2 linked regions of the Stegostoma tigrinum genome follow. The protein of the gene in region 1 purifies or fractionates together with the protein of each later gene. This does not show direct contact. Links are inferred from orthologs where the notes say so. Each region holds a gene or a part of one and is shown on either strand. Other genes may lie near its edges. The genes, in order: mrps26 and snrnp70.

Region 1 (15,423 bases):
CATCCATGGCGTTTTGATGTAAGGTCATAAACTGCTCTGCTTCTCTCTCCGCAGATTTGCTGAGTATTTTTAGAGTCTTCTGTTTTTATTTCAGATCTCAACCAGTATGCTCCAGTAGCAGCACTTCTGGAACCGTAACCATCTTCCATGGGCTCCACGGCTGTACAGCTCTGACCTCTTGTGCTTTCCCCATCTCCTTTGCACCAGTCATTTTAGTTCTCAGGACACAAGCTCTGGAATTACTTCCCCAAACTTTTCTTCCCTCCTAAATATTTGACCGGGCATTAGGTTCCTTGTTCTTGTGTTTCCATTTGTAATGCAATATCTTCATTATTTATCCAACAATGTTCCTGCAGAAGTTCCTTGTGATGCTTTTCTATGTTGAGGGGATAACGTAATGTAGGTTGTAATGACCTTAACACTGGAAAACAGAACCATAAAGCAGCAGGGAGCTTCCACAATGCTGGACTAATTGGCAAAGCAGCTGTGTGGGGAGAAACTGGAGTGATATTTTGATATATCTTTAATGATTATTAATGATATCACAACCGCACCATCAATGATTAATTAACACAAGTACACTTTCAATGGCAAATGAGAAATCCATTTCTTTGGTACAATCTATCTGGGAGCACAGTTTAAATCCAGCAGAGTTTGTATGGATAAAAAGATTTTCTTGTCTCTCAGCTTCCCCTTAACTTGAAAACGTATGTGAGAATGCTGGGAAGATAAACTGTGCATAAGAATTTGCAACTCAGTCAAGGTTAGACAATGTAAAGTGCAATAGCCAAATGGCTAGAATGCTTATTTCACACTTCCCCCTGTTTGAGGAGAGTTTGATGAAACAACAGAGAATGTTTTATTCTGTATCGAACATGTTTTACCTACCTTGCAATTATTTGATGCAATTGTAAAGGGAGCTTTACCCTATCTAATCTCACACCATACCAGTTCTGGGGGAGTTTGATAGGGATAGTGTAGAGGGAGCTTTATTTTTTATCCAACCCAGTGCTGTCCCTGTTCTGGCAGTGTTCGATGGAGACACTGCAGAAAGAGCTGTACTCTAATCCACTACTGTCTCTGTCCTGGGAGTATCTGATGGGGATAGTGAAGAGGGAGCTTTGTTCTCTATCTAACCCTGTGCTGCCCCTGCCCTGAGAGTGTCCGGTGGGGACAGCACGATGGGAAGATTACACTGGATGTGTAACATTTGGAGTTGTGACAATGAAGCTATACGTTGCGCCCATGCTCACTGTATACCTGAAGCTGCAGTACTTCCTGTTCCTTCTCCTTAAGGAATTCACTCTGTTTTTTTTCTCTGGTGATGGCTGCTTGGAGTTTCTGCTCCTGCTCCTCTTCTGCCTCTCTTTGTAGTCGCTCCTCACTGCCGTACAAACCCAAATACAAAAGGCATTAATTTAAACATATCTGGGTGTTACTTTCCCTCATCGATTTGCCCTTTCTCGCAATTTAAAACAAAAACAAATAAAGATTTTAATACCATGCCCATTCACTACCGTGGGGTAACATGAAACACTGTGATTTCACACTCCTCAATCACCAACCTTATGGATTTTTAAAACAGTAGACACAGGGAGTTGCTTTTCTACTCGTGGGAGACAGCACAATTCGAGACCATCAGTCTAAGGCAATCGCAAAGAAATCAAAACAGGAATTCAGCAGAAACCTCTTTACAAAGAGATCAGGGAGATCACTGAACATACTAACAGCTAGAATCTCTACACAGTGAGGAACCAGGCCATTTGGCCCACTGCCCCTCTGATCATCATCCCATCCAGACCCATCCCCCTGCCCTATAATCCTGCACATTCCATGGGCATGGCACATCCACGGACTGTGGGAGGTAACCAGAGCACCCGGAGGAAACCCACACAGACACGGGGAGAATGTGGAAACTCCACACAGACAGACAGTCGCCTGAGGGTGGAATCAAACCCGGGTCTCTGGCTCTGTGAAGCAGCAGTGCTAAACACTGAGCCACCGTGCTGCCGTGGAGCAGTTAAGATAAGTAGCATGTATTAAAGGGAAACCAGATAATCACAAAATAGAATGAATGGGCTGACCAATAGGATGAGATGATAAATTGAGGGAGAGATTTATGGTATAGATTAGTTGGACTGATGGCCCATTTCTCTGCTGTAAATTTCACTGGAATAAGGTAGCTGTGATATAATATGGCTCAGTGAAGTGTGAGACTCAACAACTTATATTTATCTGAGATAACAAGGTGTAGAGCTGGATGAACACAGCAGGCCAAGCAACATCAGAGAAGCAAGAAAGCTGACGTTTCAGGCCTAGACCCTTCTTTCTAGTGCTTTTAACATGACGAACTGTTCCAAGCCCTTCCCGAGGGCATTATAAAAGAAAGTATGATGCTGAGCTACACAAGGTATATTAGGGCCAAATGCTTGCTCAAAGGAGGTAGATATCAGGAATTGCCTTCAACGAGAATAACAACAGATAGACAGAGTGTTTGGGACATAGGTAACTCAAGACAGGCACCAATAGTGGAGTGATTAAAGTTGGGAATGCATGGAGACCAGTATTAGAGATCTGCAGGTATGATGGATGATAGGCTGTCTGAAGATGACAGCGATTGGGAGGGCTAAGGCCGTGGAGGGAAATTTTAAAATCAAGACATTGGGACGACATGGTGGCTCAGTGGTTAGCACAGCTGCCTCACAGCACCAGAAACCCGGGTTCCATTCAGCCCTCGGTCAACTGTCTGGGTGGAGTTTGCACATTCTCCCAGTGTCTGCGTGGGTTTTCTCCTACAGTCCAAAGATGGATAGGCTAAGTGGATTAGTTGTGGGAAATGCATGTTTACAGGAATAGAGTAGGGGCGTGGATCTGGGTGGGGTGCTCTTTGGAGGGTCAGTGTGGACTCAACAGGCCACATGGCCTGCTCCCACAATGGCAGGATTGTATGTCCTGCTTGACCAAGAACCATTTATAGCTCAATAAGCACAAGGTGACAGGGGAATGGAGTGTGGTGTGCGTTACGACACAGGCCACAGAGTATTGGATGATGGCCAAATACTGTGAATGCTGGAAATCTGAGAGTTATAGGGCACAGTAGAGGCCTTTCAGCTCATCAAGTCTGCAGCAACCTACCTACACTCTTCCCACCTTCCAGCACTTGGCCAAAAATCTTGAATGTTATGACTTTTCAAGTGCTCATCCACGTATTTTGTAACAGTTGTGAAGTTTCCCACCTCAATTGCCTTCCTAGGCAGTGCATTCCAAACCCACAGCATTCTCTGGATAAAAATGATTTTCTGCAAATCCCCTCTCAACATCCTGCCTTTCACATTAAAATTATACCCCCTTGTTACTGACCTTTCAACGAAGGGGAAAAGCTGCTTCCTATCCACACTGCTCATAATCCTACATACCTCTATCAGATCCCCTCTCAGCCTTCTCTACTCTAAAGAAAACAACTCAAGTTTATCCAGCCTCTCATCCCAAGTAACATCCTCGCAAATTACCTCTGCAGCCCTCCAGTGCAATCACATCCTTCCCATTGTGTGATGACCAGAACTGTACACAGTACTCCAACTGTAGCTGAACCAAAGGTTTGTAAAGCTCCAACATGACTTCCCGGCTCTTATAATCAATGTTATCATTGATTAAAGGCGAGAGTGTCCTTTATAGGGTCTTAATGACCCTATAAACCTGGTGTGTCACCTTCAGGAACATGTAGGCAAGCATCCAGAGATCCCCTGTTCCTGAGCTTCCTAGCGTCCTGTCATTCATTGAGTGCTCCATTGTCCAGTTCCATCTTCCAAAGTGCATTGCTTCACACTTATCAGGGTTAAATTCCATCTGTTATGGTCTGCTCAACTGACCAATCCATCTCTATCTTCCTGTAGCCTAAGGCCTTCTTCCTCACTAACCACCTGACCAATCTTTCAACTTGCTAATCACTGCCCTTCCTTCTCACCTACATCATTTGTAAGTACACAAACATTAAGGGGCCCAGCATTGATCCCTGGGGTATGTCACTGCACACTGGGCTCCACTCACACGAACAGTGACAACACCTTCTGACTCTTACCACTAAGCCAATGTGGATCTAATTTTCCCAAGTTACCGTGAATCCCACATGCTTTTATCTTCTTTATCAGGCTCCTATGTGGGATCTTCACAAAGGCTTTTCAGAAATCCACATAAACTACATCAACTGCACCACCCTCATCGACACACCTGGTCACCTCCTTAAAGAATTCAGTCAATTTTTAAAAGGTATGATCTCACTCTGACAAAGCCATGTCAACTATCCCTGACCACCAAACCTTGCCTCTCCACTTTGAGATGAATTCTCTTATTCAGAGCTTTCCCAGTTGTTTCCCTATACTGGAGAAACTCAGCAGGTCTGGCAGCATCTGCGAAGAGAGAAACAGAGTTAACGTTTCAAGTCCAGTATGACTCTTCAGAGCTCAGTTTTGGATAACCTCAGAGGTGGAATGTGAAAGACTAACTCAAAGCGAGCTGGAACAGTCAAGCCTAGTCGAGAGGTAATGAAGGCACGATTTCAGCAGTAAACGTACGAGACAGGCGAGGTTGAGTGATGTTACAGATGTGGAAATAGATAGCATTTCAAATGCCACAAGCGAGAGCTTGGAAGCTCACATTAAAGATCAAATGTGACATCAAGACCATGAACAGACTGGGTTAATCTCAGATGTTGCTGAAACAAGTCTGAAGTTAAATGAAAAGAGATCGGAAACAGGGACCCAAAAAATGGCTTCAGTCTTCTCAGCGTTTAAGGATTTCTGCTCATTCAATTCTGGACGTCACAGTCATACTGCATGGAGACTGACACTTCAGTCCTACTTGTCCACATCGAGTTTGCCAAACTAAACTGGTCCCATTTACCTGTGTTTGGCCCACATCCCTCTAAACGTTTCCTACTCATGGACCTGTCCAAAGGTCTTTTCAATATTCTAGCTGGACCTGTATCTACCACTTCTTCTGGCAGTTTATTCCAGATACAAACCACACTCGGTCAAAACGTTGTCCCTCGGGTCCCTCTTAAATCTTTCACCGCACCTTAAAAATATACCCCCTAGTTTCGAAATCCCCCATCCTAGGAAAAATACTTTTTCTATTCAATCAATGCACTCATTATTTTACAAACTTCAATAATGTCAGCTCTTAACCTCCAGCGCTCCAATGATCAAGAGCCCCAGCCTTTCCCTCCAATTCCTGCAAGATCCTGGTAAATATTTTCTGAACCCTCTCCAGTTTAATAATAGTCTTTCTATAATAAGGCGAACAGGACTGCACACGTCACTCCAAAAGTGGTCTCACCAACATCCTGTATAACCTCAACATGACATCCCAACTCTTACACTCAATGGGTCTGAGCAACAAAGCCAAGTGTGCTAAGTGTCTTCTTAACCACCCTGTCGACGTGTGATGCAACTTTCAAAGAACCATGTATCTGAACCCCGAGGCCTCTGTTTGACAACTAAGCAGGCTGACAATTTTGTAACTCAGAGTCTAGAAGAAGTCATACCATACTCAAAATATTAACTCTGTTTCTCTCCCCACAGATGCTGCTGAGTTTCTCCAGCATCCCATGCTTGTTGTTGTATTAAAAGATGTTTGACTCACCGTATTTTTCGGAGTCGTTCATTCTCCAAATTGTTGAAAGCCATGAGCTTCTGATGTTCTTCAGCTTCTAACTGTGCTCGTTCCTCGGCCAGAGAGCCCACTTCCTCTTCATAACGCTTGCGTAGCATTTCCTCCTTAAACTCAGCCCTTCCATTCCAGAGGTTGAAGAGAAACAAGATCAAATTCTGCTCACTTCATCTTTTGGGTGTGGACAGACAATACAATTTCAAACCCACCAGCAGGTATCAGAGGCTTAAGCCCAGTCCTGCAACTTCCAGTTCCCTGATATACGGAACGATCAGCACTCATGGTGACTGACTGGGTAGCACTCTTTGTTCAGAAAGTGTGGGTTCACAGCCCCACTTCAAAGACACAAGAAGAAAATCTGTACTGACACTACAGATGCAACGCTGAAGGAGTGCTGCACTGTTGCAGGGGCTATGTTTAAAGTGAGAACTGAGAGCAAGGCTCTATCTGCCTCCACAGGTAGCTTTTAAAGATCCCACAGGTCTATTACAAAGTACAGCAAGGAAACTCCTTGGGTTATGACCAGCTTTTGTCCTCAAGAAACAGATGATCTGACCATTACAAGTTCACACATTAATGCAATTGAGTACGTGGAACTTTCTTCTTGACAAGAACGATTATGCTTTTGGCACATAGAAAATAGGAGCATGTATAGACCATTGTGCCCTTCAAACCTGCTCTGCCATTCAATACAATCATGGCTGAACATCCAACTTCATACCCGGTTCCCTATTTCTCCCCATATCCTTGATACTTTCAAGGTCAGAATTCACACAACACCAGGTTGTAGCCCAACAGGTTTATTTGGAAACACAAACTTTCAGAGCCACATTAACACCTGACAAAGGACTATAATAGACCAGCCCAACACCATCAGCTCCGCATCATTGACATACCAGTCTTAAAAAAAACTTGGTCTGCACCTCTTGAAAGTCTCCAGAGCTTTGGTCTCAACAATTTCCTGTAGCAAAGAATTCCACGGGCTCAACACTGTCTGGGTGAAGAAATTCCTCCTCATCTCTAAAAAGGCCTTACTTTGAGACTGCGAGCCCTGGTTCTGGGCTCGTGTTTCTGTCCATTATTGACAGGCTCTTCACTCTCAATCAGTAGTCGGCCTCCCCACCTCTTTATTAAGATAGGTGTCTCTCACCCACTGTCTATTACTGATGGGCTGTCCTCCAAAATGTCCCCCCATCACTCAGGGCTCTCCCTACAGCCTTATCCGCGCCCCCCTCCCCCCCCATCACTCAGGGCTCTCTCCACACCCCGACCCCCATCTATTACCCGAGGGCTCTCCCCAAGCCCACCCCCCATTGCTCAGGGCTCTCCCCATCCCCATCATCCTCCATCCCCCCCATCGCTCAGGGCTCTCCCCATCCCCATCATCCTCCATCCCCCCCATCGCTCAGGGCTCTCCCCATCCCCATCATCCTCCATCCCCCCCCCCCCCCCTCATCGCTCAGGGCTCTCCCCATCCCCATCTCCTCCATCCCCCTCTCCCACCCCCAACCCCCATCGCTCAGGGCTCTCCCCATCCCCATCTCCTCCATCCTCCACCCCCACACCCCCCCATCGCTCAGGGCTCTCCCCATCCCCATCTCCTCCATCCCCCTCTCCCACCCCCCAACCCCCATCGCTCAGGGCTCTCCCCATCCCCATCTCCTCCATCCTCCATCCCCCACACCCCCCCCCCAATCGCTCAGGGCTCTCCCCATCCCCATCTCCTCCATCCTCCACACCCCCCCATCGCTCAGGGCTCTCCCCATCCCCATCTCCTCCATCCTCCATCCCCCACACCCCCCCCCCCATCGCTCAGGGCTCTCCCCATCCCCATCTCCATCCCCCACACCCCCACATCGCTCAGGGCTCTCCCCATCCCCATCTCCTCCATCCTCCATCCCCCACACCCCCCCCCCATCGCTCAGGGCTCTCCCCATCCCCATCTCCATCCCCCACACCCCCACATCGCTCAGGGCTCTCCCCATCCCCATCTCCTCCATCCCCCTCTCCCACCCCCCAACCCCCATCGCTCAGGACTCTCCCCACCCCCCTCTCCTCCACGTCACTCTGGGCTCTCCTCAACACGTGCGCAGCCCGACGTTCCCCACACACCACACCGCCCCCTCCCCCGGCACTGACCTGAGGGCCCCGATCAGAGCCACGTGTTGCCGGTACCGCTCCTTCACCACCAGCAGCTCCGCCGGATCCACCGGTGTCGGGACCCGCAGCCGATCAGCCTTGGATTTGGCGGGCGGGTCGTTGCGGGACTTGCGGCCCCGGAAGGGGATCCTGAGGGCGGGCCGACAGCGGCCGAGCAGGAGGGGCCGGCACTGAGCCCACATCGTCCCGCGGACCTTGTACCTGGGGACGGGGAGAGTCAGCCGCCGGCACCGAGACAGGCGATCACCGCCTCTCACATGGGCGCCGCCATCTTACCGGAAACCGCGAGTACTTCCGCCGGCCAAAGGTCTTAAAGCTGCAATTCCTATTTTTCCCCACTTTTCTGGGACATGCAGGAAGGGAACAAAAGCCCCTTTCACTTTAACCACTTCAGGCAGTCTGCCAGCCAGCAAACATTCTTCTGAAAGTAACACCTCGTGGACATGAATTTTCAAATTAGAGTTGCATGCTTCTCCAGAGCAAACTGTAGAAAGGTGGTTGTGGCGGGGGCGGGGTGTGAGGGACGTGTTGCGGGAAATAGGGGAGACGCGGTCTATCTCCTTCCCAAAATCCACAAACCTGCCTGCCCTGGTCGACCCATCGTCTCAGCCTGCTCCTGCCCCACCGAACTCATCTCCACCTATCTGGGCTCCATTTTCTCCACTTTGGTCCAGGAACTCCCCACCTACGTCCATGACACCATCCACGCCCTCCACCTCCTCCAGGACTTCCAATTCCCTGGCCCCCAACACCTCATATTCACCATGGACGTCCAGTCCCTGTACACCTGTATTCCGCATGGAGATGGCCTCAAGGCCCTCCGCTTCTTCCTGTCCCGCAGGCCCGACCAGTCCCCCTCCACCAACACCCTCATCCGCCGAACTTGTCCTCACACTCAACAACTTCTCTTTTGACTCCTCCCACTTCCTACAGACTAAGGGGGTGGCCATGGGCCCCAGCTATGCCTGCCTCTTTGTAGGTTACGTGGAACAGTCCCTCTTCCGCACCTACACAGGCCCCAACCCCCACCTCTTCCTCCGGTACATTGATGACTGTATCGGCGCCGCCTCTTGCTCCCCAGAGGAGCTCAAACAGTTCATCCACTTCACCAACACCTTCCACCCCAACCTTCAGTTCACCTGGGCCATCTCCAGCACATCCCTCACCTTCCTGGACCTCTCAGTCTCCATCTCAGGCAACCAGCTTGTAACTGATGTCCATTTCAAGCCCACCGACTCCCACAGCTACCTAGAATACACCTCCTCCCACCCACCCTCCTGCAAAAATTCCATCCCCTATTCCCAATTCCTCCGCCTCCGCCGCATCTGCTCCCACGACAAGACATTCCACTCCCGCACATCCCAGATGTCCGAGTTCTTTAAGGACCGCAACTTTCCCCCCACAGTGATCGAGAACCCCCTCAACCGTGTCTCCCGTATTTCCTGCAACACGTCCCTCACACTCCGCCCCCGCCACAACCGCCCAAAGAGGATCCCCCTCGTTCTCACACACCACCCCACCAACCTCCGGATACAACGCATCATCCTCCGACACTTCCGCCATCTACAATCCGACCCCACCACCCTAGACATTATTCCATCCCCACCCCTGTCGGCTTTCTGGAGAGACCACTCTCTCCGTGACTCCCTTGTTCGCTCCACACTGCCCTCCAACCCCACCACACCCGGCACCTTCCCCTGCAACCGCAGGAAATGCTACACTTGCCCCCGCACCCCCCCCCCCTCACCCCTATCCCAGGCCCCAAGATGACATTCCACATTAAGCAGAGGTTCACCTGCACATCTGCCAATGTGGTATACTGCATCCATTGTACCCGGTGTGGCTTCCTCTACATTGGGGAAACCAAGCAGAGGCTTGGAGACTGCTTTGCAGAACACCTCCGCTCAGTTCGCAACAAACAACTGCACCTCCCAGTCGCAAACCATTTCCACTCCCCCTCCCATTCTTTAGATGACATGTCCATCATGGGCCTCCTGCAGTGCCACAATGATGCCACCCGAAGGTTGCAGGAACAGCAACTCATATTCCGCCTGGGAACCCTGCAGCCTAATGGTATCAATGTGGACTTCACCAGTTTCAAAATCTCCCCTTCCCCTACTGCATCCCTAAACCAGCCCAGTTCGTCCCCTCCCCCCACTGCACCACACAACCAGCCCAGCTCTTTCCCCCCACCCTCTGCCTCCCATAACCAGTCCAACCTGTCTCTGCCTCCCTAACCTCCCACCCCAAGCCGCACCCCCATCTACCTACTAACCTCATCCCACCTCCTTGACCTGTCCGTCTTCCCTGGACTGACTTATCCCCTCCCTACCTCCCCACCTATACTCTCTCCACCTATCTTCTTTTCTCTCCATCTTCGGTCCGCCTCCCCCTCTCTCCCTATTTATTCCAGTTCCCTCTCTCCATCCCCCTCTCTGATGAATGGTCGAGGCCCAAAACATCAGCTTTTGTGCTCCTGAGATGCTGCTTGGCCTGCTGTGTTCATCCAGCCTCACATTTTATTATCTAACAATTTACACTGGGACAGGAAGAAGGGACTGATTGGTCACCAATTGATAGTTAATATCCTAATGAATATAAGTTGAAAAGCCTCACCAGCATGTCAGAGACAATAGGAACTGCAGATGCTGGAGAATTCGAGATAACAAGGTGTAGAGCTGGATGAACACAGCAGGCCCAGCAGCATCAGAGGAGCAGGAAAGCTGACGTTTTGGGCCGAGACCCTTCATCATGAAGGATCTCGGCCCAAAACGTCAGCTTTCCTGCTCCTAAGATGCTCCTTGGTCTGCTGTGTTCGCCCAGCTCCACACCTTGTTATATTACCACCATGTCTTTGTATTTTTTTGAATGAATGAATTAGCTTTATTGTCACATATACTCAGATGAGTAATGAGAAGTTTATGAGTTGCCACTCACAAAGGTATCTAGATAGAACTTCATTCCTGACAGATTAATTACAGTGTAACAGTGTCACTGACTCACAGTGTCATCTTACGTACAGAGTACTGAGGTCTAATGCCTAGTTACGGTTTAGAGGATTAAAGAAGAGAAAAGTTACATTGCAGCTAGACGGTGTCTAACCACAGGTCAGAGAAACAAGAAGCAGAGATAAAAAGATACACATTGCAGTCTCTCTCCAAGGGTTTTCTGCGGCAGACCAGGACCGGGGGTGTCTCCACATGGTCTGACCACTGTTCCTCACTATTTCTCCACACAATGTTTCAATTGTAGGGTATCTTTTGAACGTCGCCTCTAGGTGGCACAAAGTAAGCAGATGTAGTTCGCAAGTGATGGGAACAGCCGCCTGTCGAGAGATGGCACTGTAGAATATAAAATCAAGTACCTGGTGTGACAAAATAAAAAGAATTTTGTTTGAAGTTGATATCTCACGTTCTTCCAGTGCAGGCCAACAACACCCTGCACTGCAACACCATTTCAGGTGGAGGTGAAAGCCCACGTCATCCATGCCCCTGCCACTGCCCCTCACTCCCACACTCACATTTCGGACCAACCTTGTGCCTTTGCTCCTGTTTCCCGTTCCTTCATTCCCAGACACCCTTCTCCCCCTCCAAATCCGGATGCAAGCCAGCATTCCTCCACACTGTCTCTTCAATGCCCCATGTGACATTTGTGCCCCCCCACTCAGCTCTGCCTGTCCTCACCCTCTGACCCCTCATTGACGGTGCTACCCCTGCTCACAGATCATTGTTTCACCAATGGTGCAGATGCTTCTCCTGCCTCTGCCCTATAGGTCGTGCCTGACAAACCTGTTAGAATTCTTTGAAGAGGTAACAAGTATGTTAGACCAGGGAAACCCAGTAGATGTTATCTATCTAGACTTCCAAAAGGCCTTCAATAAGGTGCCTCACGGGACACTGCTGAGTAAGGTGAGGGCCCATGGTGTTCGAAGTGAGCTACTGGCTTGGATTGAGGATTGGCTGTCTGACAGAAGGCAGACAGTTGGAATAAAAGGCTCTTTTTCGGAATGGCAACCGGTGACAAGTTGTGTCCCACAGGGTTCAGTGTTCGGGCCGCAGCTGTTCACTTCATATATTAATGATCTGGATGAAGTGACTGGGGGCATTCTGGCGGTTTGCCAATGATACGAAGATAGGTGGGCAGGCAGATGGTACTGAGGAGGTGGGGGGTGCTGCAGAAAGATTTAGACAGTTTAGGAGAGTGGTTCAGGAAATGGCTGATGAAATTCAATGTGAGTAAATGTGAGGCTTTGCACTTTGGAAAAAAGAATACAGGCATGGACTATTTTCTAAACGGTGAGAAAATTCGTAAAACAGAAATACAAAGGGATCTGGGAGTGTTGGTCCAGGATTCTCTAAAGGTTAACTTGCAGGTAGAGTCCGTAATTAAGAAAGCGAATGTAATATTATCTTAAGAGGATTGGAATATAAAAGCAGCGATGTGCTTCCGAGGCTTTATAAAGCTCTAGTTAGGCCCCATTTAGAATACTGTGTCCAATTTTGGGCCCCACATCTCGGGAAGGACATACTAGCCCTGGAGCATGTCCAGCAGAGATTCACACGGATGATCCCTGGAATGGTAGGTTTAGCGTATGATGAACGGCTAAGGATCCTAGGATTGTATTCATGAGAGTTTAGAAGGTTGAGGGGTGATCTAATAGAAACTTACAAGATAATGTATGGCTTAGAAAGGGTGGACGCTGGGAAATTGTTTCCTTTAGGCAGGGAGACTAGGACCCGTGGGCACAGCCTTAGAATTAGAGGGGGTAAATTTAAAATGGAAATGTGGAGACATTTCTTCAGCCAGAGAGTGGTGGGCTTGTGGAATTCATTGCCACGGAGTGCAGTGGAGGCCGGGACGTTAAATGTTTTCAAGGCAGAGATCGACAAATTCTTGATCTCAGAAGGAATCAGGGGCTATGGGGAGACTGCAGGGAAGTGGTGTTGAAATGCCCATCAGCCATGATTTAAATGGTGGAGTGGACTCGATGCACCGAATGGCCTTACTTCCACTCCTGTGTCTTATGGTCTAATGGTCTTAAGAGCTCACTGGCTATATTTGCACAGTCGCCATTTTGTCACATGTGATAACCACTCCAATTATTTTCAACAAACTTTAAATTCTTAAACAAATGGTGTTACCGTTCCAGGAGTGGCCTCCTCTTGTGCCGGAATAAGTAAGCTTTTAGGGTTGTATGCACTTACAGCCCAGACTGAGGCCGTTCAACCCATCATGTCGGCACTCCTCAACAAAGGTCTTATCACATTAAACCCATTTTCCAGCTCTTGGCCCAAAGCCCTTGTGGCTATGGGAACACAAGTGAGTATCTAAACAACTGCTTAAATGTTGTGAGAGTTTCTGACTCAACCATTTTTATTTGTGAGCGAGTTCCAAACTCCCAAACACCCCCTGATTTTAAAAAAAACTTCAGCTCTCCTCCTACCCTTTTACCTCGCACCTGAATCCATACCCCCTGGTGGAATGACCCATCTGCTCACAGGAAAAGGTGTCTTCCTATTCATCAGATTAATACCACTCATAACCAACACTTCTATCAGGTTCCCTCTCATATCTTAAAGAAAAGCTTAAAGAACTGCAGATGAAGGCAATCAGAAAGAAAAACAGAGGTCATAGAATCACCCCAAGCAGGCCATTCAGCCCATCAAGACCACACTGACCCTCTGAATAGCATCTCAACCTGTCCGATCCCCCTGCAACCCTGTGACTCTGCATTTCACATGGCTAACCCACCATGCCTGCACATTCCTGGACACTATTCACAGTATCCCACCTAATATGTGTGCACTGTGGGAAGAAACCAGCACAAACATACGCAGACACGAGGAGAATGTGCAAACTCCACACGGACAGTCACCTCAGGCTTGAATCAGCATTGCTAATCACTGCGCCAATGTGCCGCACCATTGCTCGAGAAACTCAGCAGCATCTGTGGAGAGAAAGCAGAGTTAACCTTCTGGTCCAGTGGCCCTTCTTCAGAGCATAACCCCAGCCTATTCAATTTGCCTCGTAGCTCAGGTACATGTTGAGGGTGAAATGGGGGGTTGTGGGCACTGTGGGGGTGGAGCATGCTGGATTGATGTTGATGGGTTTGCGCATTGGTGACGGTTGAATGGGAATTAATGCTGGACAGGGCACAAGCAGAAAACAACAGGCAAGGCGGAGAGGGAACCGCAGAGGTCAGGGGGAGGACTTATGTGAACCGGAGATGGGTTACATGTGACCAAATGCATATTATAGCTAAACAGCAACACATTTCTCAGTTACAGCGTTCACTCTGACTCATATCCCTCCCTCATTAAAAGACAGTCAATAATTAGCACACTTCCTGTTATGTTGCATTACTTGATTCTTTTTGAATTGTGACTTTGCATTGGTAATTGGATTCTATATTTGGGGACACTGACTGAACGTTTTCAGTGAATAAAAATTGACAAGGTGGCACCACGAATGCAAGGAAAATCCCAGGAGATTTTATGGCAGTGATATCTTGGATTGGTTGTCGGCACAGTGAGAGAAAGTGGAGAGTCTTTTCATCACTTGTACATGGGATTTGGGCTAGGCCTATATTTATTGCTCATTCCTAAGGGTATTTGGGATTCAACCATATTGCTGTGTGCCTAGAGACACATGTAGGCCAGACCAGCTAAGGATGACACATTTCCATCCCTAAAGAGCATTAGTGAACCAGATGGGCTTTCCCTGACAGTCGACAATGGTCATCATTTTAATTCCAGATTTTAATTAAATTGAAATTTCATTCACCATCTATCATGGTGGGATTTGAACCCAGGTCCCCAGAACAATACCTGAAAAATACTCTAGCAAGAACACCACAAGGCCATCACCTCATCAGGTTGCTTGTTTCTAATTGTCCCTGAACTGAGTAGCTTCCTAGGGCCATTTCAGAGGGCAGTTAAGAGTCAACTACTTCGCTGTGGGACTCTAGAGTCATAAATCTGCCAAACTTGGTAAGGATGGCAGATTTCTTTCTCTAAACGTCATTGCTGAATGCGATGGGATTTTACAGCAATCGCTAAAAGTTGGCTGCAGAGGTCACCATCACATATTCTAAATTTATTACTCTAATTCAAATAGCACCAGCTGCCATGAGAAAATCACTGTCCTTCTGACATTGCAGCGCAGGTTAGCAGTGCTGGTAGTTATAGTCAGAACATCACCCCCTGCAAATTCCCTTTCTAAATAGTTGACATCCTGACATGGAAATATATTGCCGTTCCTTCAATGTTGTTGGGTCAAAATCCTGGAATTCCTTTTTTAATGTCATTGTGGGCCAACCTGCACCAAATAGATTGCAGCATTTCAAGAAGTCAGCTCACCGTCACCTTCTCCATGGCAACCAGGGACAGGCAATAAAAACCAAAAGAAGTGTGGATGCTGTGAATCAGGAACAAAAGCAAAGTTGCTGGAAAAGCTCAACAGGTCCGGCAGCACCTGTGGAGGAGAAAACAGAGTTAACGTTTCGTTAACTGAAATTATTTACTTCTAGTAGTCGTACAGGTTAGTCAATGAGTCTACAATTAGCGTCTCCATAACAAATGAATCGGCTGCATGAAA
Region 2 (16,576 bases), on another chromosome or scaffold:
CTTGCCCTCATTCCAATGCAAGATCATCAATATGAAAAGTGAATTCTTTTTCTCTCTCCACAGATGCTGTCTTTCTGGTGACTATTTGCAAACACACCAGTATTACACATTTTCTCTTCACAGGTGCTGACTGAGCTGTGCATTTCCACTTTTTCCTACAGAGTCCTTATGTTTTCAGCTCACTAACATTATGGAATGGACTTTTTTTTAAAAAAAGCTCATTCTCAAGCAGGATTAAATTTTGTCACCAGCAAGAAGAATTTATTTACTTATTTGCTGTGCTGCTATCCTGTTCTGGAGGCTCGTCCATTGCATGGCTGTCAGAACATATGCAACATGCAGATTTAAAAAGATCACAGAATTAGTGTTTATTGTATTCAGCAGTGGTACCAAAATTTGAAACCAACTCTTATTATAGGATGCTTACCCTTTTAATGGGGCCATAGACCTCAAACTCACGCCTCAGCTTGGATTCTGTTGTATCATAGTTCTGTAGTATAAAGGAAGCAGGAGCTGATTATTCATAAGTGTAAATATAAACAATACTGATCAGAAGAGGTTATGAAAAACATGAAAAAATGTCAATGTTTAAATAATTAAAATCTGGGGCATAGTCACAGTACTCACTGGTACTGTTATATATGATGCGATGAATTAACAATAGAAACTTCATTTACAATTCTATAATAAAATTATTTTCTTGTACAAAAGGCTTCTACTTGGGAGTTTATTTCCTAATGGTTTTTAGAGGTTAAAGGCAGAGGTAATTGGAGGATCCTCTTCTAACGTACAGAAAACACTCCTCAGTTACCTCACAATAACATGCAAGTGGATTCATCACCACACCACCCCACCAAATGAAATATTTTGATTCTTCCTTTGCTGGTACTTGACGTAAACAACATCCAAGGAATAGTAATGATCACAAACTTCATGACATGAGACATCTCAGTTATATATCGTCCATTATGGGTAAAAAGTGACAGTACTAGCCACCGATTGAATTGCAGCCCATTTTTCAATGCATTTGTTTTTCCTTTAAAAACAAAAGGGAAAAAATAACCTCAAACTTACCACCCTGGCAACAAACAGTGTCTTGAATGCATCACCCTGTGCATTTGGATCATTATGGGGATCCCCTGCAGATCAGAAAAAGAGCAACTTTAATGCTGCAGTGTTAAAGTTCACAATTACTGTTTACAATTCAAACACTCTGGAATTCCCTCCTGAACCAATACACCTTCATCCCTCCCCCGCACCTGAAGGGCACCCCTTTAACCAACCTATTAGTCATCTGTTCAAGTATCTTATGACCAAACCAAATTAATCACATTCCTGTGGTATTTTAGGGCCACACATAATGCATGAAAACAAAAATGTTCGTTGTCATAGCCACTAGTACTTAGCTAAAGTAGCTGTGCAAATCAGCTACTGCACATTTTGCTTTATGCAAGGCAGTGTGGAGAATGAGGCATAGAAATTAGTATTCATTTCCAGGGGTGAACAGACAGCTGTCTTTAACGTCTAATTAATGGGCCCACTTCAAACAGCCCGACGGTAGATGACAGAGAGCTTGATCCTATCCAATCCGGAGTTTAATACCCATTGACATTGTACAGTTCATCAGCCTCCATTATTTTCCACACACCCTCCAATAAACTTACACATTTTCAGCTCATTTTCAACTTCCTGCTGTCTTCTCTCAATCTTCTCACGCCTCTGTAAAAGGAAAATCACAATGTCTGCCACCATACAGGAGAAAGTCAGCAGTGTCACTGGCTAATCCATATGCATTCTGGAAGTAGAATATAATTTGGTCTGCAACCAGGTTTGGTAAAATGTATAATAAGGTCAGTCATTAGCTCCCCAATAGCCAATGAGGAAGCAACTAAATGAACCATTTACATACACAGTTGGTTAAATTTTCTCTATCGTATTTTGAATTAACAGTGGTGTAGAACAACAGAGGATTAACCCAATTGATTCCAGAGATTTGGGGGCTAGGTTTATCTTAATAGGAAAGGCTGGAAAAAACAAACTGGACCTGTATCTTCAGATGTTTGAGAAAAATGAGGCTGAGGCGGGGGCGGGGGGGGTCATCCTATTGAAACACAGATTCCAAATGATTTTTCTATTCATTTGTGGGATGAGGGAGTCACTGGCCGCCGAGCATTTCTTGCCCATCCCTCGTTGCCCTTGAGAAAGTAGTGATGAGCTGCCTTCTCGAACCGTTGCAGTCCACCAGCTGTAGGGTGACTCACAACATCATTAGGGAGGGAATTCCAGGATTTTTACTCAGTGACAGTGAAATAGTTCCAAGTCAGGATGGTGAGTGGCTTGGACAGGAACTTAGAGGTGGTAGTGTTCCTATATGCAGCCCTTGTCCTCCTGGATGGAAATGGTCGTGGGTTTGGAAGGTGCTGTCTGATGATCTCTGGCGAATTTCTGTAATGCATCTTGTTGATTAGATTAGATTTAGATTAGATTACCTACAGTGTGGAAACAGGCCCTTTAGCCCAACAAGTCCACACCGCCCCTTGAAGAATCCCACCCAGACACATCCCCCTATAACCCACACACCCCTGAACACTACAGGCAATTTAGCATGGCAAATCCACCTAGACTGCACATCTTTGGATTGTGGGAAGAAACCGTAGCACCCGGAGGAAATCCACGCAGACACGGGGAGGATGTGCAAACTCCACACAGTCGCCGGAGGCTGAATTGAAGCCAGGTCCCTGGCACTGTGAGGCTGCAGCGCTAACCACTGAGCCACCATACCGCCCCACAAACACACAGTACACACTACTCCTGACAGTTGGTGGTGGATGCTTATGGATGTAGTTCCAATCAAGCGAGCTGCTTTGTCCGGGGTGATGTCAAGCTTCCAGTGTTTTTGGGGCTGAATTCATCCAGGCAAGTGGGGAGTATTCCATCACACTCCTGACTTGTGCCTTGTAGACGGTGGACGGGGTTTGAGGGGTCAGGAAGGGAGTTACTCACTACAGTATTCCTAGCTTCTGATCTGCACTTGTAGCTACTGCGTTAACGTAGTGAGTCCAGTTAAGTTTCTGGTCAATGATAACCCCCAGCATGTTGATGCTGGGGGAATTCAGTGATAGTAATATGATTGAATGTCAAAGGGTTTGGTTAGATTGTCTCTTATTGGTGATGGGCATAGCCTGACATTTGTGGGGCATGGATAACATTTGTTACTTGTCAGCCCAAGCCTGGATATTGTCCAAGCTTGTTGCATTTGAACACTGGCTGCTTTAATATCTGAGGAGTCATGAATAGTGCTGAACATCACGCTATCGTTGACAAACAGCCTCACTTCTGACCCTACAAATGGAGGGAAGGTGAATGATGAAGCAGCTGAAGATGGTTGGGCCAAGGACACTACCCTGAGGAACTCCTGCAGGTGTCCTGGATTGAGATGACTGACCTCCAACAGCCATGACCATCTTCCTATGTGTCAAGTATGACTCCAAACACTGGAAAGTTTGCCCCCAATACGCAACGATTCCAGTTTTGCTAGGGCTCCTTGATGCCACACTCATTTGGATGCAGCTTTGATGTCAAGGGCCGTCATTGTCACCTCTGGAATGCAGTTCTTTTCTCCATGTTTGAACCAAGGCTGTAATGAAATCAGGAGCTGAGTGGCCCTGACAGAACCCAAACTGGACATCACTGAGCAGGTGCTGCTTCATAGTACTGTTGATAACACTTTCCATCACTTTATTGATATCTGAGAGTAGACCGGTGGGACGGTAATCAGCCAGGTTGCCTTGGTGGGATTCAAACCCGGGTCCCCCAGAACATTAGCTGGGTTTCTGGATCAATAGTCTAGTAATAATATCACTAGGCCATCACCTCCCCAGATGTTTTTCAGGATGGACTCTGAAAGGTTGAATGCCTGTGACAAAGTGATTTAGGGCCAGTTTAAAGGGAAGAGGTCTCCAACTTACAATAAAGATGAGAATCTTTTCTCCTCCTGAAGCGTCGCAAGTCAGTGGAACTCTTTTCCTCAGAACGGTAGATGAGGAGTCATTGAATACTTTTTAAAGAGAGATTCTTGCCTACCAAGGGAAGTCACTGAATATTTCAGCAGGCAAAAAAAGTGTTGTTGAGGGAAATAACTGGTGGAAAAGGCATAAAAAGCTGAATGCCTACTTTCTAACAATTTAGGTGGTTTCATTGGTAGAAACAAGTAACAGGAGGCAGAAGTCTATAGAGACTACTGCTGATAAGCAGATGTGTACACAATTCTTAGGAACATAATCAGGCTTGATGAAGACCCTGTAATAAAATCAAATGGACTGAATACACTTACAGGTCACGCAAGCACCCACAGAAATGATGGCCAGATCAACAAACAGCTGAAAGGAATGTGGGTCCACAAACCTACAGAAAATAGTCGCGGAGACCTTCAAATAATTCCAGGTATTTTCTAATGTCTAGCCTTTCCTAACACATTTAACCCTAGGATGTACATTTGGCCTAAATTTCTTACCTTTCTTTCCATTCGCTCCTCCCGTGTCTCAGCTCTTGTTGGTGGCGGGGCATCTCTAGGATCCTACATAGCAGAAAAAGAAGCTGTGATCAAAAATTCAGAAGTTACACTTGCTATATTCCATTCTAGCAATTCCAAGTGGCTCCTTGATCATCACTTTTCCTGGATAGAGGCCAGTTATGCTTGAAAATGTGGTATGAATGCACTGAAAAACGGCTGTTCAGATGCAAGCATAAGCTTCTTTCAGGTGCAACCTTCATGTGGAATTGAATTATGGGTATAAAAGTATTCAAACAATATTAAATATATCAACAGTATGAAAGATTCTTCCCATAAGAGATGCCGACAGACCTTATTTCAAATTCCAAGCACCTGCAGGATTTTGATTTTGATCAAGATGTCAATATCTGGTTTCTTGGTAACAAGGAATTTAGGTTTCAGAACATAATGAATGAACATGTGCAACTGTAATAATGAGACAGGAACAGGACGATACCAGACATAAATCCGAAAGTGAAAGAACATAACAGAATGGAAAAGCTAACAGAAAATTCAAGAAAACCAGATTCTTAACAGACTGACTCTGAAGAATAAGAATGAACAGTGAAAAGGAAGAAATGGGAGTATATACGGATTAAAGGGCTAAATCAAGGTTGAGCGTTAAGTTTCTCTGAAAAACAGTCACAAGCATAAACTCCATAAATACAACCGTTGCGCCTCCAAACCCCACAACATGATTGTACAACATGTACTGTGGTCCACTTCATCTTCTGCCCATCCACCAGGTCTTAACCCATATCCCAAAACTATGTCACCGTCAATACCAATTCTCAATACACGCCCCTAACTGGACACAAGCCAAACTTCTCATTCTCCCAGAACTTGCCTTGTTCCAAAAGGCCCCACTCACCTCAATTACACTTGACCAGTCATTAACATCCTTATCCACTGGCCCAAACAGACCTTTAATACCCTTCTCCTCACACTACCACAAGACCCCTCCTTTACATATCTGGCTACCTTCTCCACTACTGTTCCCTCCTACACAATATCTTTCATATCAACACAGCTCTTGCTCTTTACTCACACTTCCCTACTCTACATAGCTCATTCCCCATTTTGAATCATCTGCTCAATTCCTTTCCTCCTCCCTCAGTCCTTATTAGTTCCCTATCATGAATTCCCACCTTCCCCATCCCCTCTGACAATTCTCACCAGCCCATTTCCCCCATCTCACATTCTCCATCCACCCCTCTTCCCCACCAGCCTCCAAACACCTCCTCACCATTCCCCCCACCCAATACCCTATTCTTGCACCCACCCCCAGATCAATCCCCTACCCTCCACTCCCCCCTCTGCAGTTTTCCCCACATGACCACTCCTTAACCAATTTAGCCTCCCAATTACCCCACTGTCTTTCCTTTCCCCCAACTCCACATCTGTCTGTTACTCCTTTCTCCCCCCCTTCACCCACTGCTCAACTGTATCAACCACCCGTTTTAGTTGCCTTTCCTGATTACCACTTCTCTTTCTCTCCACCCTGTTACGACTCTTTATCCCAACTCTCCCCATACGGGCTCCCCCTCCCTTCAGTTCCCACCCTCCCCCAGCACCCTCTCCTCTGCCAGTCCCCATGCAGTCACACCCCTCCCCACCATTCCCCTTGCCCAGTCAGCACCCTCCCCCGTCACCCCAAGATCCCTCCTCTCTCCAGTCACTCCATCACTACCAGCTCCCCAGTTCCCCTTCCCCAGTAACTCTATCAGCACCACTCTCCAGGCCCCCCCACCCCCCCGGGCCCTTTAACCCCTGTCCGTCACCCCAGGTTTATTCCCTCCCCCACAGCTGCGGCGCTGACCTCGAACTCCCGGACGAAGCCGGCGATGCCTGAGTACGGCTGGTTGTGGTGTTTCTCATGCGGCAGCTTCTCCAGCGGCGGCAGGTACGGCACCGGGTCCCGCGGCGCGAACAGCGCCAGCAGGTTCGGCGGCAGGAACTGAGTCATGGCGGGAGCCGGGATCAAAACCCCGCTGTCCCCTCTCTCTCCCCCTCTGGGTTACTCGGCCTGTGAGGTTGAGGAGGGAGGGGGGAATAACTCGCTAACTTGTTACTCTAACTAGCTTAAACAACGCCACCAGGCCTCACGCGCGCCGACAGCGAGGAAAACACAAAATGGCCGCCGTGCCTCTTCACATTCCCTCCGTATCATTGGGCGTCCCCTGCTTTGGAAAATGCATCGTAAAATACAATTCCAACCATTGATAATAATGCTACTCAATGTGATTTTATACCTTAGTCCATTTCTCTCTCAATAAGACTTTACCTTACTCTGTTTTTCTCCATTCTCCCTTAGGCACTATTTACATGGTGGCAGAACACCACCTACCCTTTATTTCAAAATAACGATCACTCCAGGGCGGTGGGCGGGATCACGCGCCGAGGAGGACCCGCCTCTACCCTCCCTAGAATGGCTGCTGTTTCGCTAGGCCCCACCCCTCTTCCGCACGCCGATTGGCTAGGACATGGGTGGACAGTGCTCCCGCCCATATGCCACACCTCTATTGGTACAAAGGCCTGTCATCTTTACTATACCATGTCAATTGGGTGGATAGATTGAGTGACAGCCATTTTCCCCACCCCACCCTTTGCCCGGCTCTCCTGCAGTTAAAGGGACAGTATCCCCTCAATGTCAGTGCTGGTGAAGGGTCTCCTAACATCTGGAATGATCGGTTATATTACTCTGCATGACCTGTGCAAGATGTTTGTAGCATTTAAATTTTTATATTAGGACAGTTTTGTTATGTGGTTTTGAACTCAAACGTGAGTTGTGGCTCATGAGGGACTGAGAAGGCAAGGTCATAAACTGTCTTCAGACTTGGGCTTGCATATAAACACTTTATTGCATGTAAAGGCTAAATACTCTACTAGAGAGGGGGAAAAACAGGCTTGAATCTGTTTAAGATAATAAAGTGTGAAGCTGGATGAACACAGCAGGCCAAGCAGCATCTCAGGAGCACAAAAGCTGATGTTTCGGGCCTAGACCCTTCATAGAGCCAGCCGAAAAACACCGGCTTCGATCCCTAAACATCGGGACGTAGATGACCAGCTTACACAAGCTGAGGAGCTCTTGAGCGCAAGGAACGACCCGGACACGCTTGCCCTCGGAATTGGACTAGTGGAAAGTATTACCGACCTACTAATGAATAGCAGGAAAAGACAGAACAAAAACAAGAGGCCTCAAAAAGATCAGGCCAAGAAAGACAAAAAGCCCGGTAGCAATACCGGAGCCAGAAAACGGTGGGCAGCACGAAAAGCGCTGTTTAGAGCAACACAGCGGCTTTACAAAACCAACCGGCGTCAACTAGCTCGTGAGATCATGGGGGCGCCAACCTCATCCGCTTGTCCTCTCTCAAAAGAGGATTTGGAGACATGTTTCCGTGAGAAACTGTCTGCACCAAACAAGAAATCGAACATAAATAAGTATGCCCCATACACTGGCAAAGTCGATGACGGGTCCTTGATGAAACCCATAGAGGTAGAGGAAGTTGAAGCGGCCATCAAGGGGATAGACGAGAACAGTGCCGCTGGACCAGATGGCCTGAAACTGCAAGACATAAGAAGACTCCATGAGCAGGAGGAAACTCATCTACCCCGCCTCTTCTCCTTATGGCTAAAGTCAAGCATGATCCCCGATTCACTAAAAAAGAGTCGAATGGTCCTGATTCCTAAGTGCGAGGATAAGGAATGCTTGAAAAGCATTGATAACTGGCGACCAATAACCATCGGTCCAATACTGCTCCGGCTGTTCACGAAAATAATGGCAAAACGCCCGAGTGAAACAGTCGAAATAAACCCCAGGCAAAAAGGGTTTCTAGCAGCCACTCCTGGATGCAATGAAAACATTGTTGTCCTCGAAAACATCATCAAGGGAGCAAAGCACAATCGTAAGGACCTCGCAGTTGTCTTTGTCGATCTAGCGAAAGCGTTCGACTCGGTTGGGCACAAACTATTGATCGAATCTCTGCAAAGGATGAAACTACCCAAAACCTTTAAGTCTCATTGATGAAGGGTCTAGGCCCGAAACGTCAGCTTTTGTGCTCCTGAGATGCTGCTTGGCCTGCTGTGTTCATCCAGCTTCACACTTTATTATCTTGGATTCTCCAGCATCTGCAGTTCCCATTATCTTTGAATCTGTTTAATGCCATTGAGATTGATAGGACAGAAAAAGACCCTTTAGCCCTTTGCATCTGCACAAGTCAAAAGCCCCACCTAAACTCTTCTAATCCCATTTTCCAGTACTTGGCCTGTCGTCTTGTAATACCAAAGCATATAAGTGCACAGCTAAATGCTTTTTAAATGTTAACAAAAGTTTCTGCCTGTATTATCCTTACAGGTAGTGAATTCCAGGTTTCCAACATCTTCTGAACGAGAAAGATTTTCCCTCACATCCCCTCCAAACTTCTTGCCTCTTATCTTAAATCCAAGCCTCCTGGTCATTGCTCCCTTCAAGGGGGAAAAATTCTGCCTATCTTCCCTACCTATGCTCCTCATTTTATGCCCAGGGAGAAAACTCTTGTGAATTCTAGATAATAAGGTGTAGAGCTGGGATGAACACAGCAGGCCAAGCAGCATCTCAGGAGCACAAAAGCTGATGTTTTGGGCCTAGACCCTTACGAAACGTCAGCTTTTGTGCTTCTGAGATGCTGCTTGGCCTGCTGTGTTCATCCAGCTTCACACTTTATTCTCTTGGATTCTCCAGCATCTGCAGTTCCCATTATCTCTTGTGAATTCTACTGTTCGAATGCTAGTTGGCCTACTTCAAGCATTTATTTGCATGTCTCTAACATTCACACAGCTAGACCAGGGCTGTACTTGTGTTTTCCCTGTCTCTCTTTAATTCTGATCTTGTTTATGCCTAGTGAAGAGCAGCACTGCAACATCACCTAGTGTCCCTTGTACAACATGCACCTCTGCCCATGGTTGCTGTGGCTCCCTATGCATTAGGAAGATCAAACTCAGACTGGGGCATATCACTTCATTGAGCATAACAAAATTTGGAAATAAAACCTAAAATACTGAAGTGTTATAGTTCACTCAAAGTTGCTGGGAGCAGAAGTAGGCTATTCAGCCAATTGAGTCTGTTCCTTCCAGTAAGATCACATGTTCTGATAATATCAAGTCCTCTTTCCTGACCTTTCCACATGAAGTTTGATTCCCTTACCAATTAAATGTGTCCACCTCAACCTTGAAGATACTGAACAACCTATCCTCTATAGTCTTCTGCGATAAGGGGTTCCACAGAAGAAACTATCTTTCAAGAGAAGAAATTATTCCTCACCTCTGTCTCAAATCCTAGACTTTCCCACAAGGGCGGGGGGCAGAAAACAAACTTGCAGCATCTATCCTGTCTGCTCCTCCATGGAGCTTGTATGTTTCAATATGATCATTTCTCATTTTTCTAAACTCCAATAAAGTACAGTACCTCTCCTCAGAAAAGGGTCCTTCCATACTCAGGATCAATCTAGTGTTTATGCATTAGCAATTTTTTTAAGCCAATTAGTCTTTCTCTCCTTTGTGGACTTTGTAAATACAAAGTTAAGCCTCATCCTGTCCCGTTTAAGAAACCACCCAGCATGAGTTTAACAAAATTCTAACTGGTACAACTGCACATTTCTTCAGGCTTTGTAACATGTGTTAGTACATGTGAATTCCTACTGGCACATGTCTCCAATATCACAATGACCTTTAGTATGGCTGTTCTGCAAGGTTTCCATTGAATCCATTAATATAGTGTATGGAAGATTTGGAGCTATGACCTATGAATATCTGATTGAAACATTGCATCCCATTTTGCACATTAAACCTTATTCTGTTATCATAATTATCATCATCTCCATTAATAATCTCCACATCCTCATTTGAAATAAAAACATCCTATGTAAACAAGTCACACCATAACTTGCTGAAAACAAAAAATGCTGCAAATTGCAGCAGCTCAGGCAGCATCCACGGAGGGAAGGTAACCTAAAGTTGAGTCTAGATGAATCTTCAGAGTTCTTCTGACACTGTAATTTCCCTCTTCCTCTAGCGATGGCACCAACTGCTTCACCTTCACATCTGTTTAGTTTGGTTGTTTGCGAAGTTCCTGTGATCCAACTAACTCCACGTCTCAACTTACTGTGCTCTTTGCTATATAATTATAAAACCAAAATACTATAGTATACACAAATATAAAGACTGCATTTATGACTTAAAAATGCAATCTCAGGGGCACCTGTCTAATTATCCTCTCACCTGTAACGATATGTATTTTAAGCAACCTCTTTAGACAGGCTATATTACACATCTGGGACAGGTGGGACTTTCAACTTGGACATTTTTGGCTCAAAAGATAAGGACACTACCGCTGCACCACAAGACCACTAACCTCCGACTGTATTGTAAAACAGTCTTATCCTCATCTTTCAATTCCTCCTGTAGCCCTGCAATGCTCCAAAATCTCTGCACCCCTCCAACGCATCTCTAACTTTGTTCCATTAGTAGCAGTATGCCTTCATCTACGTAGCTCTGGAACTCCCTTCCTAAATCTCTCCACCACACTACTTCTGACAAACTTTTCTGCTTAAAATTTCTCCTCCTATCTTTAATCGGTACTAGATGATTCAATGCCATATTTCATCTAATCATGTTCCTATATCGTGCCTCAAGACATATCACTATACTAAAAAAAGGTGCTACGTTACTGTTTTTTCCACCAGAAAGTCTGCATTTGGTCTAAACTAACCCTGTGCACTGCCTCAGAAAAGACCAGTTGTTCTGAACTATGCTTAGCAAAGTTAATTGGCAAAAAGTGGAGGAAGAGCAAAAATAAAAATTCCACCTTCAACGGTCTGTGGAGCTTTTTTTATTAAAAGTAAAAAAAGGCTATTATAACTTTTTGAAAAACCATTCACTAGAAACAAATTCAGGGAAATTACAGTAAAATGGCATAATTTATAGCAATAATGGGCGCGGGGGAACTTCAATTACACAAATTTAGACTGGGATACTATAGGTTTAAGTGAGTGTGACAGGTAAGACCACACCTGGAATATTTTGGAAAAACTGTTTGCTAGAAGCAACTTCAGGCAAATTACAGAGAAATGACAACTGTGACAATGCTGTGGCTTTAAGAGGTGTGTTTTTGTCCTTATTTTTTGGGGTAACAGGTGAAGAGTATTGAGAAAATAAACAACTTGAGACCTTAGGGTTCTTTTTAGAAAATTAGTTGCAAAGATCAAAGCAGCCTGAGTGAGTGTGGTGAAGCTCTCCAGGGATTTTTAGCAGCAATTGCTGTTGTGGGCTTGAAGAAGTAGAAACTAGTTTCCCCACCCAATCTCTAGATTGCAGCCAAAATCTGGGAGTTCTCTTTAGAAGCTGCTGGACTGCATGCGAGACAGAATCTGTTTTCTGAATTTGCATTTTGCCAAAAATGTATTTATGGGATGTTACTATATTAGAACAGGTAATTAGTAAGAGTTACTGTACCTATTATTTGGTTAATGTTTCTGAGAGTCAAGTTATTCCAAGGTCTTCTTTCTTTTTTGTACTTTTAACTATAGGGTTTGAAAAAATAATGTATTTTACTCAACATTGAGTGGTTTGACAAGTCAAATTTCATCTGGACCACAGTACCTGTTATTTACCTTCAAAATAAGAAAAAGTTAGGAGTCTAGGCTACCTTCTAAACATTTTTTAAGAAGGGATCTGGTCTGGCCCATTACAAACATTACAAATTAATAATGGGGTGGTCTTCATTTTGCAAATAGAGACTGATATACTGGTAGCATAAGAAACAGTGACAGGCAAGGGTGTACCTAGATCGTGTTCAGGAGAGTTTCCTTCAGCACTTACCTGTACACAGTCCAACCACATGCATTGTTGGACCTGGTCCATGGGAATGCAGTAGGCCAAGTAGAACAAACATCAGTGGGGGACTATTTAGGAGATCATAGGGTGCAGGATGTGGTAGAGAATGATTGCAACAATTAGCAGAGTTTTGGCCTCCTCACCAGATGATGGGTGTTCTGGCTATGGAAGGAGTGCAGAGGTTTACTATTCTGATTCCTGGGATGGTATGACCGATGTATTAAGTGAGGAGATCAGTTAAGACTGTATTCACTGAAGTCTAGAATAATGACGAGGGAAAATCTCATACAAACCTATAAACTTTTAACAGGACTAGACAGGAAAAACAAAACAGAATATTTGCAATGAGCAGGGATCATGGACCAGAGTCCAAACCAGGGATCACATTCTAAGGACATAGGATAAGTTATTTAGGACTGAGATGAAGAGAAATGTCTTCACCCAGAGTTGCAAGTCTATGGAATTCTCTGCCACAGAAAGTGGCTGAGGCCAAAAATACTGAATGATTTCAGTGAGTTAGATATAGTTCTCAGGCCTAAGAGGTGTCAACGGGAATGGGGACAAAACAGGAACAGGGACTGAACTGGATGATCCACCACAATCATATTGAATGGTGGAGCAGGGTCTAAAGGCAAAATGGCTTTATCCTCCTACCTTTTGTGTTTAACAGTCAGAATCAATATGGGAAAGTAAACATTTCCACAAAGTCAGTCTGAAAAAGGTCAATGGAACCAGATACAACAACTATCAAAAGTGAATTGGAAAACGTCTTGAAAGGGGAATGATTGGCAAGCAATGGGTGATGTATGGAATCAACAACAGCTGTCAGAAGAGCTAGCAAATGCATGATGGGCTGAATGACTTCCCTTTTATGCACCTTTACTCCACAAATATATCACACCTCTCTATGAGGAAATCAAGATTTTCAATATACAAGACAATCCTTTGAACTAAAGCAATGCAGTTTGTTAAGCTTTCAAAATGAGTGGCCAGCTACCGCACAAGTGAAAGCATTTTAACATCTTTAATACTGGTTGTGCACCTTTCAATCTTTCCTAAAAGGGAAAGGATACCTATAAAGATAGAAACATTCTATCAAAGACAAGTAATTTTTGTGATACATCTGTAAAACTCCAACGCATCATTACCATTTCTCCATTCTGCATAAGAAAGCACCGAGAAGAAGAAAATGCCAGTTTCTCAACAACAGGTCACTTTGGCGTAAAGATAATATGCTATAACTTGTGGTCAAGCAACTGATTGAACAGTTTTTCTGCTCATCCCAGTAACTGGACTGAACACTAATGGAAATTAATCCAACAGAAGGAAGGAAAAATGTGGATTGGAATGGCAAGGGATTTGTGCTTGTCAATTGGGGAGGTCCTCTAGACCACTCACATTATGTAATAAATTCACGAAGGTCAGCAAGCTCAAGTAAAAAGGAGAAAATAACATATCCATAACATTCTATAACACTACCCATCAAAAAGTCCTTTACAGGTAATGAGATATTTCTGAACGCTGTGAAGTAGGAGATACAGCAGTCAATTTAGACACAGCAAGCTCCCTCAAACAGCAAGGAAATGAGCAGTTAACAAAGTGTGAAGCTGGACGAACACAGCAGGCCAAGCAGCATGTCAGGAGCACGTAAGCTGACGTTTCGGCCTGAGACCCTTCATCAGAGAGGGGGATGGGGAGAGGGTTCTGAAATAAATAGGGAGAGAGGGGGAGGCGGACCGAAGATGGATAGAAGAGAAGATAGGTGGAGAGGAGAGTATGGGTGGGGAGGGGATAGGTCAGTCCAGGGAGGACGGACAGGTCAAGGAGGCGGGATGAGGTTGGTAGCTGGGAAATGGAGGTGTGGCTTGAGGTGGGAGCAGGGGATAGGTGAGAGGAAGAACAGGTTAGGGAGGCGGGGACGAGCTGGGCTGGTTTTGTGATGCAGTGGGGGGAGGGGACGAGCTGGGCTGGTTTTGGGATGCAGTGGGGGAGGGGGAGATTTTGAAGCTTGTGAAGTCCACATTGATACCATTGGGCTGCAGGGTTCCCAAGCGGAATATGAGTTGCTGTTCCTGCAACCTTCGGGTGGCATCATTGTGGCACTGCAAGAGGCCCATGATGGACATGTCATCTGAGGAATGGGAGGGGGAGTTAAAATGGTTTGCGACTGGGAGGTGCAGTTGTTTACTGCGAACTGAGCGGAGGTGTTCTGCAAAGCAGTCCCCAAGCCTTGCATCTCCAATTCCCACCTACCAACCTCATCCCGCCTTCTTGACCTATCCATCCTCCCTGGACTGACCTATCCCCTCCCCACCTATATTCTCCTCTCCACCTATCTTCTCCTCTATCCATCTTCGGTCTGTCTCCCCGTCTCTCCCTATTTATTTCAGAACCCTCTCCCCATCCCCCTCTCTGAAGAAGGGTCTAGGCCCGAAACATCAGCTTTTGTGCTCCTGAGATGCCGCTTGGCCTGCTGTGTTCATCCAGCTTCACACTTCGTTATCTTGGATTCTCCAGCATCTGCAGGTAATGAACAGTTAACTGTTTACTGTAGCGGTATTGGTTAAGGTGCCTCAACGAGAAAACCAGGTAGAGGTCCCTGCTCATTTTTGAAATGGTGCTGGTCTCTCTCACACACTCATCCAAGAGGGCAGATGGGACTTCAGATTGTGCACTCAAATTCCTAGATGTTTTAATACATTTGCAAAACATTGAATAAATGCAGCATATTATAATAAACTGAAAATTAAAACCAAGACCATGGACAAACTGGCAATTAACAATATGAATTTTGTGCTTTCTGAAAAAGTACGTGTGCCACAAGAATCACTGTAAACCTATCGCATTCATTTGGAACAGTATTTTTTAAGAAAATTAAGAGGCAATGCAACATTATCCAACTTTAAAATGCAATTTACACTTTAATAAACATTGTCTGTTGCCTTTTAATTACATATAAGTTACACAAGGAGGTGGCAACAGTATATTTTGTGCTTAAAGCAATGCAGCTTTGCTGCTGTAACAAATAAAGTACATTTTTTGTGCAAAGTCCCATGTGTATTGCACACTGCAACAATGCAGATTTCAGTTTTTTTTTAAAAATCCACATACATCTATTCAGGTCACCACTCATGGCACAGTTTTCAAACAGCACACAACAACCATGCCCACTGAGAGAGTCTGGCCAGAAGATAGGTCCAAGCTGGGCTTGAAGAGGGAACAGCAAATTCATCATAGTGACAAACTGAGCCATTGATACATAATTAAGACTCCTGCCGACACATGCCGCCACTCACTATACACTTCACATTTTATATTGAAAAATAAAAAATTCTAAACACGAGTACTTCAAAATTAACCAAGTTGCGGCATAACGCCAAGGCACTCCTTCAAATCTGATGAAACCGTGATTGTTTTTCCTGGCATCAGGTGATCATTTCTTTCCCTACCTCTCCCAGTACAAGTCTTGGTCATCAGCTAAATTTGGCAGTGGAATCATCACTCCGTGCAGAACTAAGTCAGAATTGTTCCACACAATCACCGAGCATTCTCCACCAAGAAAAAGCCCTTCCAGGTGCAGAGCAGGAAAGCCAAACCAATAATATGGAATGATTATAGCTCAGCAACAGTCCCTGAGGGGGCCCAGGCATCAAATCGGGAACACTCTGGGTCAATAATGGCACTTTTACAATGAAGTGCGCCAACCTCCTGCAGCCTCAAAAAGAAAGCTGCAGGAGATTTTACAAATGTGAGTCCTAATAGGAACTTTCTTTGCCAGCTTAAGTAGTTGACGCATCAGTTCTATACAGTCAATTTCCCTTGGAAGCTTACAGTTCCTTGGAGGCTTACTGCAAACATTCAATGTGATCAACATTTGATAAAGTTCTACAATTTGAAATGATATTTAAAAATATAGATTATAGATATAAGTGTTCACAACACATTCCATTAAAGAGTTTCAGGCAAAACCCCGGTTGCCCAAAACAAAAAATCAATAAATCATTGAACAGATTTTGTCCTCGCTATGCAAAGATTAGTAGCTGCGTTTTGTGGTATTCCAAGTAGAGGGAGAAAAAGCTGCCAACAAGCAGATCAAAGAATCTTACTTAACTCTAACAGGCTACTTAATGTGTGGGTATCAATTTAGTCTGTAGG

Evidence for each region.
Region 2: the proteins of mrps26 (region 1) and snrnp70 purify together in Homo sapiens (affinity purification with mass spectrometry; 3 studies listed by BioGRID and IntAct, counting the BioPlex papers as one, with this or other methods). This does not show direct contact. The link is inferred for Stegostoma tigrinum from reciprocal best matches to the Homo sapiens genes MRPS26 and SNRNP70.

The regions. Positions count from the first base shown.
Region 1 is NC_081354.1:182,485,410-182,500,832, reverse strand, and holds the start of mrps26 (28S ribosomal protein S26, mitochondrial), read right to left. Parts: upstream 8,111-15,423; 5' UTR 8,010-8,110; coding exon 7,807-8,009; intron 5,788-7,806; coding exon 5,641-5,787; intron 1,385-5,640; coding exon 1,261-1,384; intron 1-1,260.
Region 2 is NC_081391.1:18,611,887-18,628,462, forward strand, and holds the start of snrnp70 (U1 small nuclear ribonucleoprotein 70 kDa), read right to left. Parts: upstream 6,700-16,576; 5' UTR 6,519-6,699; coding exon 6,372-6,518; intron 4,577-6,371; coding exon 4,514-4,576; intron 1,720-4,513; coding exon 1,665-1,719; intron 1,140-1,664; coding exon 1,075-1,139; intron 491-1,074; coding exon 428-490; intron 1-427. UniProt on the Homo sapiens protein: Component of the spliceosomal U1 snRNP, which is essential for recognition of the pre-mRNA 5' splice-site and the subsequent assembly of the spliceosome. SNRNP70 binds to the loop I region of U1-snRNA.